Linked DNA regions of Lonchura striata. The protein of the gene in region 1 purifies or fractionates together with the protein of each later gene. This does not show direct contact. Links are inferred from orthologs where the notes say so. Each region holds a gene or a part of one and is shown on either strand. Other genes may lie near its edges.

Evidence for each region. The genes of interacting proteins can lie anywhere in the genome.
Region 2: the proteins of CCNK (region 1) and CDK12 purify together in Homo sapiens (affinity purification with mass spectrometry; 6 studies listed by BioGRID and IntAct, with this or other methods). This does not show direct contact. The link is inferred for Lonchura striata from reciprocal best matches to the Homo sapiens genes CCNK and CDK12.

Annotation. Positions count from the first base shown.
Region 1 is NC_134608.1:12,582,834-12,589,788, forward strand, and holds the start of CCNK (cyclin-K), read right to left. Parts: upstream 3,016-6,955; 5' UTR 2,884-3,015; exon of another isoform or gene 2,801-2,883; intron 2,750-2,800; exon of another isoform or gene 2,615-2,749; intron 2,256-2,614; 5' UTR 2,151-2,255; intron 1,133-2,150; 5' UTR 1,063-1,132; coding exon 866-1,062; intron 1-865. UniProt on the Homo sapiens protein: Regulatory subunit of cyclin-dependent kinases that mediates activation of target kinases.
Region 2 is NC_134627.1:7,131,091-7,138,739, reverse strand, and holds the start of CDK12 (cyclin-dependent kinase 12), read right to left. Parts: upstream 3,021-7,649; 5' UTR 2,856-3,020; coding exon 1,816-2,855; intron 1-1,815. Other genes in the region: MED1 (mediator of RNA polymerase II transcription subunit 1), read left to right, coding at 4,367-4,583, 6,005-6,111, 7,507-7,585. UniProt on the Homo sapiens protein: Cyclin-dependent kinase that phosphorylates the C-terminal domain (CTD) of the large subunit of RNA polymerase II (POLR2A), thereby acting as a key regulator of transcription elongation.

The sequences.
Region 1 (6,955 bases):
AATAAAAAAGCCACAAAAGCCCTTAAAGCTGTGTAAATACTATGATCAGGCCCAGATGCAGCTGATATCGAAAGCATTTATTGTAAGTATGCAAAGTGCTGACTGTATTTCCAAGAGGATGCACATAAGGTGACTCCTGTGTTGCACCATAGCTGCCTCAGAGAAGGACAAATCCAGCAGTAGGTACACGAAGGAACAGAACAATTATCGCTTCACATTCAAGTGCTGGCATGGAGGAAAGTTACTATTCAAACCTACAAATGCAAATAAAATCTGAACATGCTCCGTATTCTTCACTTTAAGACAAATAGAAGTTTAGTCTTCACCATGCATTATTAAAGAAAGAACTAAGGAGTTTAAAGGAAGCATAGGAATATAGAAAGCAGAAAATTTAAGTGGCTGTCTATGAGGGAGTGGGACAATGGGGAGAACTTATACACAAAGTTGTAAATCCCAAACCATGAAACAAAAAAACAGCCACCAGAGACCAAGACTGGGGAGGCAGAGGTTAGAGCCTCAAAGGCCAGATTCTAACAATTTAGAAAAAGGAGGGAAAAATTCAAAATTTGAGAAGCCATGCAGATTCATATAGTGAAATACTGAGTTTCATAACTCACAGATGTTACTCTTAATTGGAAAGTTTGTATCATCTTACTTCTCTTCAACAAACTGGAACCCTGTTTATGCAATGAATGGATAGAAATGGTGTAGGAACACATTATATTGAAAGGCACTTCAACACACATATATTTTTAATTAGCAATTAAAAATCTGATCAGCTGAGCATGTCACATTTCTTGTGTATTTTATTCTGAAAACTCACTATTCATAGAGACATTTCATACCAACAATGTGTAAAGGATACAGCCCTAAACGTGTTCCCACGTCGAATATGAATCTGGCCCCTTCCCTGCGGTATCGTGCCTCTGTAGCTGGATCAAGCCCTTCAAGCTGTGATGGTGTGTGTGCCAAATCTTTCTTATCCCAGTACCAGCATGGCTTTGTATGGTCCAGGTTTGCCAAGTTCACAGAAGGGCTGGAATTTTCTTTATTCTCCTTCATTTATTAAAACAGAATTGTCTCTGCTTTTTAAATTTTCAAAAACGAAGTCTTCAGAGAGTCACTTCAGGACCTTGAAGAAAACAAAAAAGGAATTCTTTAAAAATAGAGAGAACTACCTTCTGAAGTTCCTCCTCAAAGAGGAGTAAAAAAAGAATAGTGCTTAGCCTTGCCTGTTGGAAAGAACTTGTTCCTATGCTCAAAGACAAGTAATAAAGAACTTTGCCTTTATCCTCTCCATATTTTGCAAATACAATCAGAAAAAGTAATAGGTTATCCTTGCTGTTACCTGTTTAATAAGGAAACTTCAAGAATAGATCTCCAACAATATTGCTATTTCTTAGTAGAACAACTACCATCTACTTTGTCCGTAAAACTAGGAAAAAACAATTCAGTGACGGCTGCAGAAAGATGTGGAAAGTTAGGGCGATTAGATGACTATTGGTAATTAGGAAAGGCACCGGTGAGGCGAGCCTGAACGGCCTCTTAAATACCTGCCTGCTCCCAGGGATATTGCGGGCAGCAACCACTTGGCAGAAGCTTTGTAAAGTGATCTGTACTTTTACTACTTAAAGAAAAAAAGTGTGTCAGTGTTCTTTCACATACCTAGATTAAGACAACGTGAGTTTATAGAGCAAGGCAGCATTTAAAATCATCCCCCAAACAAGGCAACCAAATACACCCCAAGAGTCTCCTACTTGCCCCTGTTTACCAGCACTTTGTGTACACAGATGCAGATCACAAAGTTCTGCAGGCACCTTTTTGGTGATTGAATTATGACAGACGTTCAGCCATGCCTCAGCTTAAAGAGTGCTTTTTTTTTCTTACAGGCACAAAACTGCTCTTACTCCAACTCAACTAACTACAGATACTATTCCCAGATTACTGCAGTCACCTGCAAAGGTTTGCATAACAGACAGACATTAATATATGATGCAATATATTCGCTCTAAGCAAGACAGTCACAGTAAGACCCAAACTTAAAACTCTTAAAATCAGTTATTACTTATCGAGACGTTTCCCTTCCGAAAACGGAAGGAAGATCCCGTGAACAGCCACAGAACGATGCCTACAATCAGCACCTCGCTCACCTTCAAAAAGTCTCTTTTTCAGAATAAACGAAACTGTCTTTGCCTCACGGTGGTTTTGGAATCACCTTCACAACTCGTGGTATCGGTCACAGACAGATCTAAATTCTGGCACAAGAAAAAGTAAATGGCTACTAAAAACTATTTCCAGACTCAACGAAAGCGCGCCAGGCCACAAGCACACATTCTCATCATATTTACTAGAAAGCTGCTTTTATAACTGCAACGACCCTTCTTCCTTACCAGATATTTTACTTTCTAACTTCTAAAGCGTTTAAAAATCAGTTAACACTAAAAGCGCCTGAAGCGGTAAGATCTTTTTCTATAAAAGCCCAAACGCATTTCCGAATACGGAACCAGGAATGAAAATTATCACCCGCAAGCACCTTAAATGAACCATGTTAAACGTCCCAATCCAGAGACCGCAACGCCCGGAAATAATAACTTTTCCCTGCCTTTTTAAGCACCCCATGAAACTGGAGAAGAACTCCAGAGCTCGATCGCGGCTTTTTCATACCTTACCCGAGACGAACGCACCGACCACAGCTCCGCCCCCGCTGCCCCAACGCGGCCGGGGATGCTCACACCGCCTCAGACCCACCCGCCCGCCCTACACGGGGCTGCCGGTGCCCGGGGAGGCGCTCGCTCCCTACCCCCGGCCTCCGCGCTCCCTTCCCCCGTTCCCCAGGCGGCGGCGGTGGCCGGCGGGCGGCCCGGGCGGGCCCCGCGCACTCACAGGGCTGCGGCAGCGGGAGCGCACCGGAGCGCGGGGCCCTCAGCGACAGCGCGGCCTGCGCGCCGCCATCTTGGGAGCCAGGCCAGGCCGCGCGTGCGCCATCACGTCGCAAGGGCGCAGCGCGCGAGCACGGCGGCCCCGCCAATGGGAAGCGGCGGCGCTCCCGCTACCTCCCGCCCAAATGCCCGCTCCGTCAGCCGCTGCTGGGCCGGGCTGCCGTACCCTGGGGGCGGACCAATCGGAACGGTAAAGGGGAAGATTGCGAGCGCAGGGACCAATAGAAACCTGAAGGCGGGCCAGCAGGGATTGAATGACAGCCAATGGGAGCGCTGCTCTGCCTGAGGGAGGGGCGGGGCCTGCTGGCGGGCGGCAGCTCGGCCAATGGCGGCAGGGCGCGCAGAGGGGGCGGGGGCGGGCGGAGCTCCGCCTCCCCACCGCGGGCAGCGGCGGCGGCGCGGGCTCGGGAGCGCCGCTCGCTCGGGCCAGGCGGGAGCGGTCGTGCCGGGAGGTAAGGCGGGGCCGCCGCGCCCCCTCCCCTGCTGCAGCACGGGCCCTTCCTCTCGACCCTCCGGGCGGCGCGAGCTCGCCCCGCTCCGCCGCCTCCTCCTTCCCCGGAGGAGGCGCCGCTCTTTCCGGACACCCCCTCCCGCCGGGCCTCGCCGCCCCTGCCTTGCCCCGCGTGGCCGGTGCGGGGCCAGTCCGGGCCTCCTTCCCCTGCGAGCCGCAGCCTCCGCCAGGCTCGGCCCGGCCTTTCCCTCTCCCGGCGCGTCCCCCGGGGCCGCCTGGGGCGGGCCGGGCTCGCTCCAGCCCGGCCTGCGCGGGTCTCCAGTGAGCGAGGCGGCGGCACCGGCGTTTTGCCTTGCCCCATCCCCCCTCCAGACCCTGATAGAAACGAGAGTAAAGCAAATGGCTTAAAACTGCTTTCCTCGTGATGTAATTAGATTTTTATTTTTTTTAATATGTGATACGGTTTGAATCCTCCCTGCTCCTACTTCATTTTCCCATGCCCCAGCTCCCGGGGTCTGGCTCAGGGGCGTCTCTGCGGGTGTGTGGCTCCTCTGAGCCCTCCTCTGGCTGGAGAAGAGTGCTCTGGTTTCTTTCCTTTCTCACCCCGTCTGCAGCCTGCTGAAGCAGAGTTAAATCTTTGGAAGAAAAAGAGAGAGAGGAGTTAAAATTAGAATAAATCGTAAATGTTTATTGACAGGGGTGTTACTCCTGAAACAGCCTCGGTATTTCAGCCTTCCCCTATTGCTACAGCAGCTGCCTGTCCCGTGAACCCTTCTTCTTCTTTCTTACCCAGCAACACTTCATTAGAGTTGCTTGAGCTGAGGCTGTGCTTTGCCTTCAGTTCTTAGCAAATTCCTAAATTTTTTTACCCTACATTCAGCTATCAGAATAACCTCAGTTTTGGAAGTTGTCCCTCATGGTTCAAAGCTGCTCTTGCCCCAAGCTTGGTATCTGCTCTTCTAGATGGGCTTGTCTTTGGAACCTAAACTGGCTCCTGAGATCAAGCTGAAAGTAGATTGTCTTTGTCCCTTCTAAGAGCATGTAATGAAGGCACCTGTACATTCAAGTGACAGCTTTGTTCTCTGAAAATTGCTACAATGTTAGCTTAATGTCTGGCAAGTGCTTTCTGCTTTCAGTTGTTGTAATCCCATAGGTGAGTAGAAAACAACTGTGGCATTCTGTATGTCCACTATCAGGTTCCTGGTACAAAATAGTAAGCCAGTGTACAAGTTGTGGGAAGGAAAGGCATGATGGACTCAAAGGCGGGGGTGGCTTCCTGATATTTTTGCTCAATTAAGTAACTTAATATGGTAGAGATTCAAGCATGCTGGCTTGTGCCTTAGTAGTTTTCAGTTATGTTTAGCAGGGATTGAAGTATACACTGCAGTAGAGTTGAAAACACATTTTTGATGTTGTGTGCTGAGAAATAGATTTAGGCTGTTGGGGGAAGAAATGCCACAAACTCCAAAATAGTTTGTAATCTGTATATCGCTATTTCCAGAGATGGCCTGATCTGTTGCTGAAGTCAGACATGCCTTGAAATAGAATTCTGATTTCAGTATGGTACAGAAATCAAAAATAGGCTGTTTTATGCCTCTCTGTATGGAAAAGTGTACATCTTGATGATGTTTTAATTATAATAAATTTATTTTGACATATCTACTGTATCTATGTAATTCTTGGTCATAGTGGTGCTGGTTATGTAGTTAATTTGATAAACTGTGTACTTCTCAGCAAGTGAGTATTTCAGTGGTTCCTCTTTCAAAAAAAAAAAACAACCAAAAAGAGGTACTTTAAGAGTACTGGAAGTCTTAAGGGATCTGTATCTTTTCTAGTGGGCTGTCATAGGGCTCAGTGCATGAGACCTCATGATGCCTGTGGCTTAAGCTTTTGGAGGCCTGGGTGGTTCTGTTAAGTCTGCCTTACTGATGGCTGAAGTCAGGGTGGCTTGCTTTACTCTCAGTTAGGAGTTATATTATATAAAGTGAGGTTAATATTTTCTAAATTAAGAACATTATTTAGGAACATGCGGGTAAAGACAGTACATAAGGGTTTTTAATTAATTCTGCTCTAAAGGAATTAGGAAAAGAAGTTTGTGGGAGTCTTCAGGAGGAGCAAAATTCAGGCAAAGAAATAAAATTACAAAAGTGGGTTGGTAAATTGGTAGAGTTTATCAGCTTATTTTCTTTAAAGAGTAAGTTTGTTTTTTTTTTTTCTGGTCAAATAGCTGTCTGAGGATCTGATTCAAGAGACAGACAAAGGAGTTAAGAGCTTGTTTCCTGTGGATAGATAACTATCTTCCCTAGAAAGATCAGGCAGGTGTTGATAGTAAGAATTACTTCATCTGCTTAAGAAAGCTTTAATGGAAGGCCAAGGGGTATAGGGACAAACCTGTGGTAAATAATGTAATAGTTCCAAATTAGCAAGCTGATAAAAGTGAATTAAGAAATACATACTTTTTTGAGCTGTTCTGTTGGATATGGACTTTTTTTTTTGCCCTTCAGCATTTTGTGCTACCTTCAAATTAATAATTTCTTACCAGAAGTTTATATTTAATGCATGAGGCAGTCTTGTGCTTAGTATGTAGCTAGGTTCAACTGGGTGGGGAGGGAGATAATGTCAAAATGACAGGACTTCCTTTTTTAGTAGATTAGTGCTACCTCAAGCATTTGTAATCGGAATACTATCAAGGCATGTTTTCTTTGATTCTAAGAATAAACATCTTTTGGAATTTGATTCCCAATACTTAGCTAAATTTGTTGTACTTGGTGGTTTTTTAAGTGTATCAAGTAAATATTTAGCTAACTTTAGTGGCTTCTTTTGATATTATTCTGTAGATTGGCTTCTTCCCAGTATCACAGTCACCACTATCACCATTGTTCTTTCCTTAACCTTACACTGTAATGGGATTAGCAGTTTGTTCTTTGCAGAGTAGATGTGTGCAGTGCATACAGCAGTGGTTCAGTCTTTCCTCTTTTCCAAATGCTTTAGGCTTGTGCTTGTGGTTGACACACCTGTGGTGGTACAGCTTTCTATAGTAAAGGGAATCATTTGATTCTGACCGTCCTTTGCCAAAGAACTTGTTGGAGACACTTCAGATTCCTAGATTTCGCTTTAGGTGACTAATAGTGTTTTTAACTTAGGCTGTTATGTAAAATATGAGAAAGAATGTCTCAAAACTAAAAGTACTGCAGGAGTACTTCATTGCTCCATAAAAATGGTCCATTAGTGTTGTCTGGTCTTAGTCGTGTGTATTTGGAGCTAGGCTTGTGTTTGTAGCAGTTAAGAGGTGACTTCATGCCCAAGTGTATTTTAATATTGCTTTGCATTTTTGGTCTTGCCCTTCCTCTGCTTTAACCTTCTTTGCTCCCTTTTTCTGTTTTTAGCTGCTCTGCCCTACATTGCCTCTTGATTGCTTCTCTTCTAACAAATGACTATTCCAGTTGCTCCATCTATCCTTGCCCTTCCTTTACCACTTCCCATCCTGTTCAGGTAGTCTGTTAATCCTTTTCCTTTCTTTGAAATAAGGAAGAATTAGAGCTGTATTCTTTCATTTCAGCTCTGG
Region 2 (7,649 bases), on another chromosome or scaffold:
AAGAGAGAGGAGTAAGTTATCAAGCCAGAGAGTTGGGTACAAGCTGAATGTAAACAGTGAGCAACCTTTGGAACTCATCTGGTTTGGGGTCCAGCATTTAAGTCGGAGATGTCCTTAGAAAGTTGCTCTGAAAGTTTAGGGAAGCAGCACAAAGTGCTCTGAAGTTGCTCCCATAAATCAGGGAAATGGAACTGCTGGAATTCTCTACTCTGAATTCTCTACTCAGCCACTTACACAGAGAGGTTCTCCTGGGGAGAAAACTCTTAGGATTGCTCTGCAGCTCCCAGTGGCTTCTCCCTGCTCAGGGCTGGACATTTCCTCAGCGCCACAACTCCGAGTTGTATCAGTGAACTGACACCTTGCACCTTCCTCACCCTTCCAAAGGGTGAGCAAATAACGTGTCAGAGTAGCACCACCAGGCAAAAAGGACTGAAGGGAAGGAGCAGAAAACTACCCAGGCCTATCCCTGAGAACCTCCCAGGTGTACACAGAGAAAACAGGCCAGAGGAGGAGCAGCCTGGAGGAAATTTTCACTGTAAAAATCACAGTGGAATACAGAGATTTTACGTCAGAGCTTCCAGGGGGGTTGAAACCAAGACAGAACTGCCAGCAAGGACAAAGGCGAGCTCTCCATGGAAGACAGCACTCCTGAAGTTCAGAGCTGCAGTAACAAAGACCAAATTCCAAAAGCCCCGTGTGCTTTGGGAACTGCTGAGCTGCAGGATGCAGCACAGCAACCAGGGAGCAGAGCATTCCTATGGCCATTGCATTCCAGGTCACATCTGAATTGCCATGGAGCTCCAAGCAAAGCTCCACAGCATCCATGGAGACAACTGGAAACTCACTGAACGTTAAGCCAGGGCTAGAGAAAGAAAAGATCAACATTAGACTATGTCACAGGATGATTAATGAACACCTGAAATAAAACGCACAGAGCTACCTTGAAATAATTGTTTCCTTCTGGAGCAAAGTTACTGAGTAAAAGGGGAGAGAAAATTAGAGATAAGCCAAAATCCAGCTGGTTGCTCCTCGCCCTTCCAGCCTGCCCACATTTCAGAAGGGAAGAAACTCTAGTGCTGAGAAAAGAAAGTTTAGGCTGAGAGATGGAGTTTGCACGTGGCTGCCTCTAATCCAAGGGGAAAGAAAAGACAAACCAGTTCAGGAAGAGCAAAATCCACCCCAAACGAGCCCTCCTGAAAAGCAGGATCACGCTCCCACACGCAGTAAACAGATAAAGGCTTCCAGAAATAGGTGAAAACATTCCCCGTGGCTGAAGTTCCCAGCAGGTAAGCGCCTTAGATCCTGCTCCGGGAGCCTCCCCACGAAGGGGCCACTCCAGAGGTGGGTGTAACTTAATCCCAGCAGCTCCTCCAGCCTCCCTCCCTGCCCGCAGCCAACATGGACGCTGCCTCCCGCCAGGCACAGAGGCGGTTCCCAAAGTGTCAGCCCCATTTCCAAAGGGAACGGTCAAAGCTCCCAGCCAAAGCCAACTCCACACACGGCACTGGGCAGCAATGGGGAGGAATCACGGAATCACGGAGTGGTTTGGGTTGGAAAACGCCCTGAAGAGCATCCCATGGGTAGGAACACCTTCCTCTAGCCCAGCTTGCTCCAAGCCCTATCCAACCTTGGACAACACCATGGATGGAGCATCCACAACTTCCTCAGGCAAGCGCAGCAGGGAACAATTTTTTCCCCAATATCCCACCTTAAACCCACCCTCCATCAACCTGAACCCATCCCCCCCTGTATCCCATCACTCCAAACTCTCCCGAACTCCCTCCCAGCTCCCGGGGCGAGGCGGGGCACACGCACCTGGCGATGGGGCTGCGGCTGACGGAGCGCTTGGAGGCGAAGGGGCTGCTGGAGCGGCGGCGCCCGTAGGGGCTCGGGGACCTCCCGCTGTAGGAGCCGCTGCCCCGCTCGTAGCTGGACGAGCGCCTCCGGCCGTAGGGGCTCACGGATCGCTGCCGCCGGCTGTAAGGGCTGGGCGAGCGGGCGTTGGACTGGTAACCCACGGGCTCCTTGTAGGGCGGGCTGAGGGATTGGCGGCGTGAGGATCCGCCGGGGCTTTTCCTGTAGGGATCGTAGGTGCTGGAGGTGTGCGAGCGGGGCGGGCTGAGGTCGTATTCCTGCACGTAGGAAGCTCCCGAAGGGCTGTCGTCCAGTTTTGGGCTGTCCGACCATTTCCTGTGAGGGCTCCTGGATTTCCTCTTGGGGCTGTCGATGGTTTTGTAACTTTTGGGAGCATCCCTTTTGCGATGGCTTTTGCTGCGCTCTTTGTGGCTGGACTTGAGCTCCCGCTCCTTCCTGGATTTCTCCTTGTGCGCCTTGGCCGAGCGCGATTCCTTGTTGCTGCTCTTGGAGGAGGAGAGCGCCTTGGGGTGCTCCTCGCTCTCCAGGAGCCTCTTGGAGGATCCCGAGATCCTCTCCTTGGCGGACCTGCTGGAAGCATCCAGGCTCTTTTCCAACTTCCTGTCCTTCTCCGCCTGTTTGCTCTTCATCAGCTCCCGGAGCCGCTTGTGCTGGTGGTGCCGGTGCTTCTGGGCCCTCTCGCTCCTCTCCGCCCTCCTCTCGTCGTTGTCCCTCCTGTCCAGCTTGAGGCCCACATCGTCCGAGAAGGTGTCCGAGTCCGAGCTGATGTCATCGTACTCCACCAGCGGCTTGATCACCGCTCCCAGGGGCGCCGCCGCTTCCTGGGCCGCCAGCGGGGACTCCTTGGAGTGCCTGGACTTGTGCCTCTTGTGCCTGGAGCCCGCCCGGTGCCTCTCCTTGCTGTTGGAGCCGCCGCCGCCCGGCTGCGAGCACGCCCCGCCGCCGTCCTTCTTGCCCCCATGCCTCTCCGGGTTTGGCATTCCTCCCCCGCTGCGCTCGGGAACGGCGAGGGGCGGACTCGGCGGAAACCCCCAACTTCAAACTCCCTCCGCGCCCGCCCCTCGCACCATCCACGCCGGCCTCGCTGCTCCCTCCTCACACGGGGAGCGGGGCCCGAGCCCCGGAGGCGGCGGGAGGGACGGGCCGGGGCGGGGGGGGGGGAAGGAGCCGGGAGGGGAGGGGGAAGCGCCGCGGCCTCACCGCCTCATCCGAGGGGGGCCCAGGCCCGGCGGGCAGCGCGGCCGCCCCGGGAAGGCGGGGCCCGGAGCGCTGCCCGCGGCCTCAGCGGCGGTGGCGGGGCCTGGGCGCGGATCCCCGGCCGAAGGGGCCCCGGAGCCGCCGCCGCCCCCGGCGCGGCCCCCGCGCTCTGCCCGAACCGGAGCGGCGCCGTCCGGGGGGCGCCGCCAACTCTCGCGAGACCCGCCCGCAACTCTCGCGACAACTCCGCCGCCGCCACCCCTCCCTCCTTCCCTCCCCGGCGAGTCCTCCTCGTCCGCGAGTCCTCTCGGGGGATGGGCGGGGCCCGCGCGCTCGTCCTCTCGCGAGAGCCGCCAAATCGCGCGGCGGCTCCTTCCCAGCGAACTTTAATCGGGGCGCGGGGCGGGGACAGCGCCCCCTAGCGCCCGGCCCGCAACAAAGCTCCCATGGCGGCGGCGCCGCCGCTTCCGCCCCGCCCTTTCCCGCCGCTCTCCCGCTCCGCCGCGCCGCGCCCTAAAGCCGCCGGCGGGTGGCTGCCGAGCCCTCCCCGGCGCACCGCCGGCTAACGAGCGGTTAATGCTCCGTTAGGGGCTGCGGAGCGGCCGCCGCGCTTCCAGGGCGCTGAGGGGGCGGGGCGCGCTGGCCGCCGAGCCCCGCCCCGCTCCCGCGGAGTCTCGCGAGAGCGCGGGAGCGCGGCCGCGGGCGCAGCGATGGCGGCGGCCGCCGCCGTGTGAGGGCGAGGGCGGCCCGGCCGCCGCCGCCGCTCCCGCTCCCTCTCCGCTCCCTCTCTCCAGTCCAGACCAGCCCCGCGTTTGCAATATGAAGGCCGCGCCCGGCAGCGCCGAGGGTGAGTGCGGCGCGAGGGGCGCGGGGGTTCCCGGTTCTCCGTGAGGGAAGGAGGGCGGCCCGGCGGATCCGAGGCTCCGCATTCGGGTTGAGGTTGAGGTGGCGGCCCGGAAAGTGAAACGGGCGAGGGTCACAAAGGTGGTTTGAGGTGTGGGGAGTCTCTGTGCGGAGGTGGAGGGAGCTGGGCCTGGTTGCTGTGGAGGAGAGGAGGATGAGGATGCTATCAGTCCGGGCAGATATCGCTAGGGGCTGTCAGAGCCCTGTTCAGACTCTGCTCAGCGGCAGGACGAGGAGAAACGGCCGGAAAATAAAACACAGCAAGTTCCACCTCGGCATGACGAAGAGCTTCTTTCCAGGAGGGTGTCCAGGGAGGGTGAGTGGTCTCTGGGCACATTCCAGGTGACCCTGCCTGGCTGGGTGATCTGCAGAGATCCCTTCCAGCTCTCTCATGGGATTCTGGACAACTCAGTGTTGGTTGAGGAGGGGCTTGGACCAGGTGAGCTGCAGGGGTCCCTTCCCACCTGCAGCATCCTGTGTTGATGCAGCTGAGAGGTGTAAAGTGCCTGAAAACAAATCCCGGAGTAGCTGGGGTTGGAAGGGACCCCTGGAGATGATCCAGTTCAACCCCTCTGCCAAGGCAGGGTCAGCTGGAGCAGGGGACACAGGTGGGTTTGCAATGTGTGCAGAGCAGGAGGCTCCAGAACACCCAGCATTCATTCATTCCTTCCTTACACTTGGGTTTGGAGGGCTCAATGTGAGGTCTGTGGGCTAGCAGAGCATCAATCAGGAGCCCAAACTGTGGAATTTTGGCAGGTGGAAGTCACAGGCTCCTGTGAGGTGACACTAAAATGTCATGTCTGCACTGGACCCTCTGGGGCTGGGGACAGGGTTTATTCTGGAATGACGTCCACTGGGATGGTTTTTTTGACGTGAAAGTATGAAAAGCTCTGTCTCTTGGCAATAAAACACTGGATTTCAGTGTTCATGAGAACCATGTTCTCTTTATCACTCATCCACTGCTTCATCCCCCCCAGCACATGGAGCAGCACAAGGGGACAGCAGCCCTCAGCTTGGAGCTGATTGTGGAGCCATGGGATGTCCTGAGCTGGAAGGGACCCCCAGGACCATCAAAGCCCAGCTCCCATCCCTGCACAGGCACCCCAAAAATCCCACCCTGTCTCTGAGAGCAATGTCCAAACATTCCTGGGGCTCTGGGCTCTACAGGAATCATCAACCCAATTCCTGGCCCTGCACAGGCACCCCAAAAATCCCACCCTGTCTCTGAGAGTGATATCCAAACATTCCTGGAGCTCTGGCAGCCTCGGGGCTGTGCCCATTCCCTGGGGAGCTGTTCCAGTGCCTGAGCACCCTCTGGGAGGGGATAAAAATTCCCAAAATCCAGGAATCATCAGTCCAACTCCTGGCCCTGCACAGGCACCCCAAAAATCCCTGAGAGCGTTGTCCAAACCCTCCTGGAGCTCTTGGGGCTGTGCCCATTCCCAGGGGAACTGTTCCACTGCCTGAGCACCCTCTGAGGGGGGGAAAAAACTTCCCAAAATCCAACCTGAACCCCCCTGGCACAGCTCCAGCCGCTTCCCCATGTCCTGCTGTGGGGCAGGAACGTGTCTGAGCACAGAATTTGGCAGAACTGGCAGCTGGAATGACTTGGCTGAGGTTTTTGATGGTGGAAGGTGTTGAGGACCTTTCAAGAAGTTGGGGGAGAGAGACCAGAGAGGGGATCCAGGACACAAAACCCACCTCACTGCTTTAACCCCGTGTTTCCCACAGCCTCAGTTTCTGGGGATCCTCTCCTGACAGAACTGAACCTGCTGAGGCCACATCACTCAGGGATGGTGCAGAACAGGAGCTGAGCATTTTCCAGGAAAATCCATAAGATTTTCACAGTCCTTTAGTTTTAACAGCCTGGGAGATTCCGTAACACTTAACCTCACCTCAAGCTCTGGGGTTAAACCAGCAGTTAGCAAATTCTTTGAAGTCATTTTCAGCTTAAAGGTGGAAAGTTTTGTGTTGTTTAAGTGGTTTGCAGAACTTACCAAAGTTGGCTCACTGTGTTCCTGTGTGACAGAGGCAGAGAAGCTGAACAAGATGAGCTCCCTCCTGGAGAGGCTCCACGCCAAGTACAGCCAGAACCGGCCCTGGACAGAAACCATCAAGTTGGTCAGACAGGTCATGGTGAGCATTGCTGGGCTCTGAGCTGCAGCTCCTCTGCTGAAGGATTTCTCTTGGGTTTTTAGACCTTTTCCAGGTGTTTTTTGTTGTGTCCATGTGTCATGGTTTGATGCTGGTATCCCCGTGAAAATGCAGCTTCTTAATTGGATGCTGTGAAATGTGATTGAGAATAAAGCAGGCGAAGCTTAATAACAAAAAGGAAAAAAAAGCTTTATTAAGCTACTACTGCTATATTAGTATAAAAGAAAAAAAAGAAAAGCACACATAAAATTTGAAATTAAAACCTTTCAAAACATTCCTCTTCTTACTATCTAACTTTAATAAACTACAGTGACACACATTTGGACTCTTAATGAAGTATTTACCTTTTAATATATAATCAATACTGAGTCTAAGAGGGGACAGAGGAGTCTCCCTTGCACTACAGACCCCCAGGAAACACAGCTGCCACCTCTTGTGTTTCTGTGTCACACGTGGCACTGCCTGGAGAGAATCTGCCAGTGTGACACTCCTCTTTTTGTCACTGTGCTCTCACCACCGTGCATGGACAGAGACTGCTCATTGGGCTCCTTTGAGGATGCTTTGCCAAGGACCAAGAGGAACAACAGTCTAGTGTTTAATTTTGGGGCTACAGTCCCCCCCATTTTCCTCTAGAGCCTTTAACCCCTCTATATTAAGAGCATGTCTACTTTCAGTTGGTTATTCTAAGTGTCAATATTTACACCTGACCCCTGACTACATCAACTTCTTCCTGCTGAAAAGATTCTTTTTCTCATGTCAAACCACAGCACTGTGGCTTCACTCTCTCCTGAGTGGTGCAGGGGAGGGAGGGATGTCCAAACCTGCCCAGCCTGATGTGCCTTTCCGTTCCCTAATTAGTGTTCAGTGCCAGGGAAAGAGTAAAACCTATATTTCCTGCTATTTACCCTTCCAGGATATTGTTTTGTGGAACAGTTTGTTCAGTGACACTCAACACTCAGCCCTGGCTTAGTCAAAAATGGGTTTAAAATATTGGTGTGGCAGCAGGAGGCAGGGGAGAGCTACAACAAAACCTCCTGCCCACACTCATGTGTTAAAAGTTTGCCCAACTCTTTATTTTTCTGTCTCCTCTTCTAAAACTCTCAGCTTAGACCTATAAAAAGTTGCTACATTCTGTTCTTCCAGCTGGGCAAGTTGCTAAAAAGAAAATAAACTCAATTCCAGGCCTGCCTTTGTGATCTGCTTGCAAGCAGATTACTGCTCACCTAGAGGAATCAAAATGTTGTAATTTGGGGGTGAAATCTAATCTGCTTTTAATTATCAAAATAAACCTCGCTTAGCTGTTCAAAAGTTGCCATAATTCCCTCCTACTGAGGGACAAGGAAAAATGATGTTTTTTTTTTCTTCTGCCTGCCCAAGGAAAAGCGTGTGGTGCTGAACTCGGGGGGACACCAGCACCTGGTGAGCTGCTTGGAGACACTGCAGAAGGCCCTGAAAGGTTGGTGTGTTGTCTCCACAGGGTGGAAAATCCTCTGGAAATGCTCCATAAAAAGCACACAGGG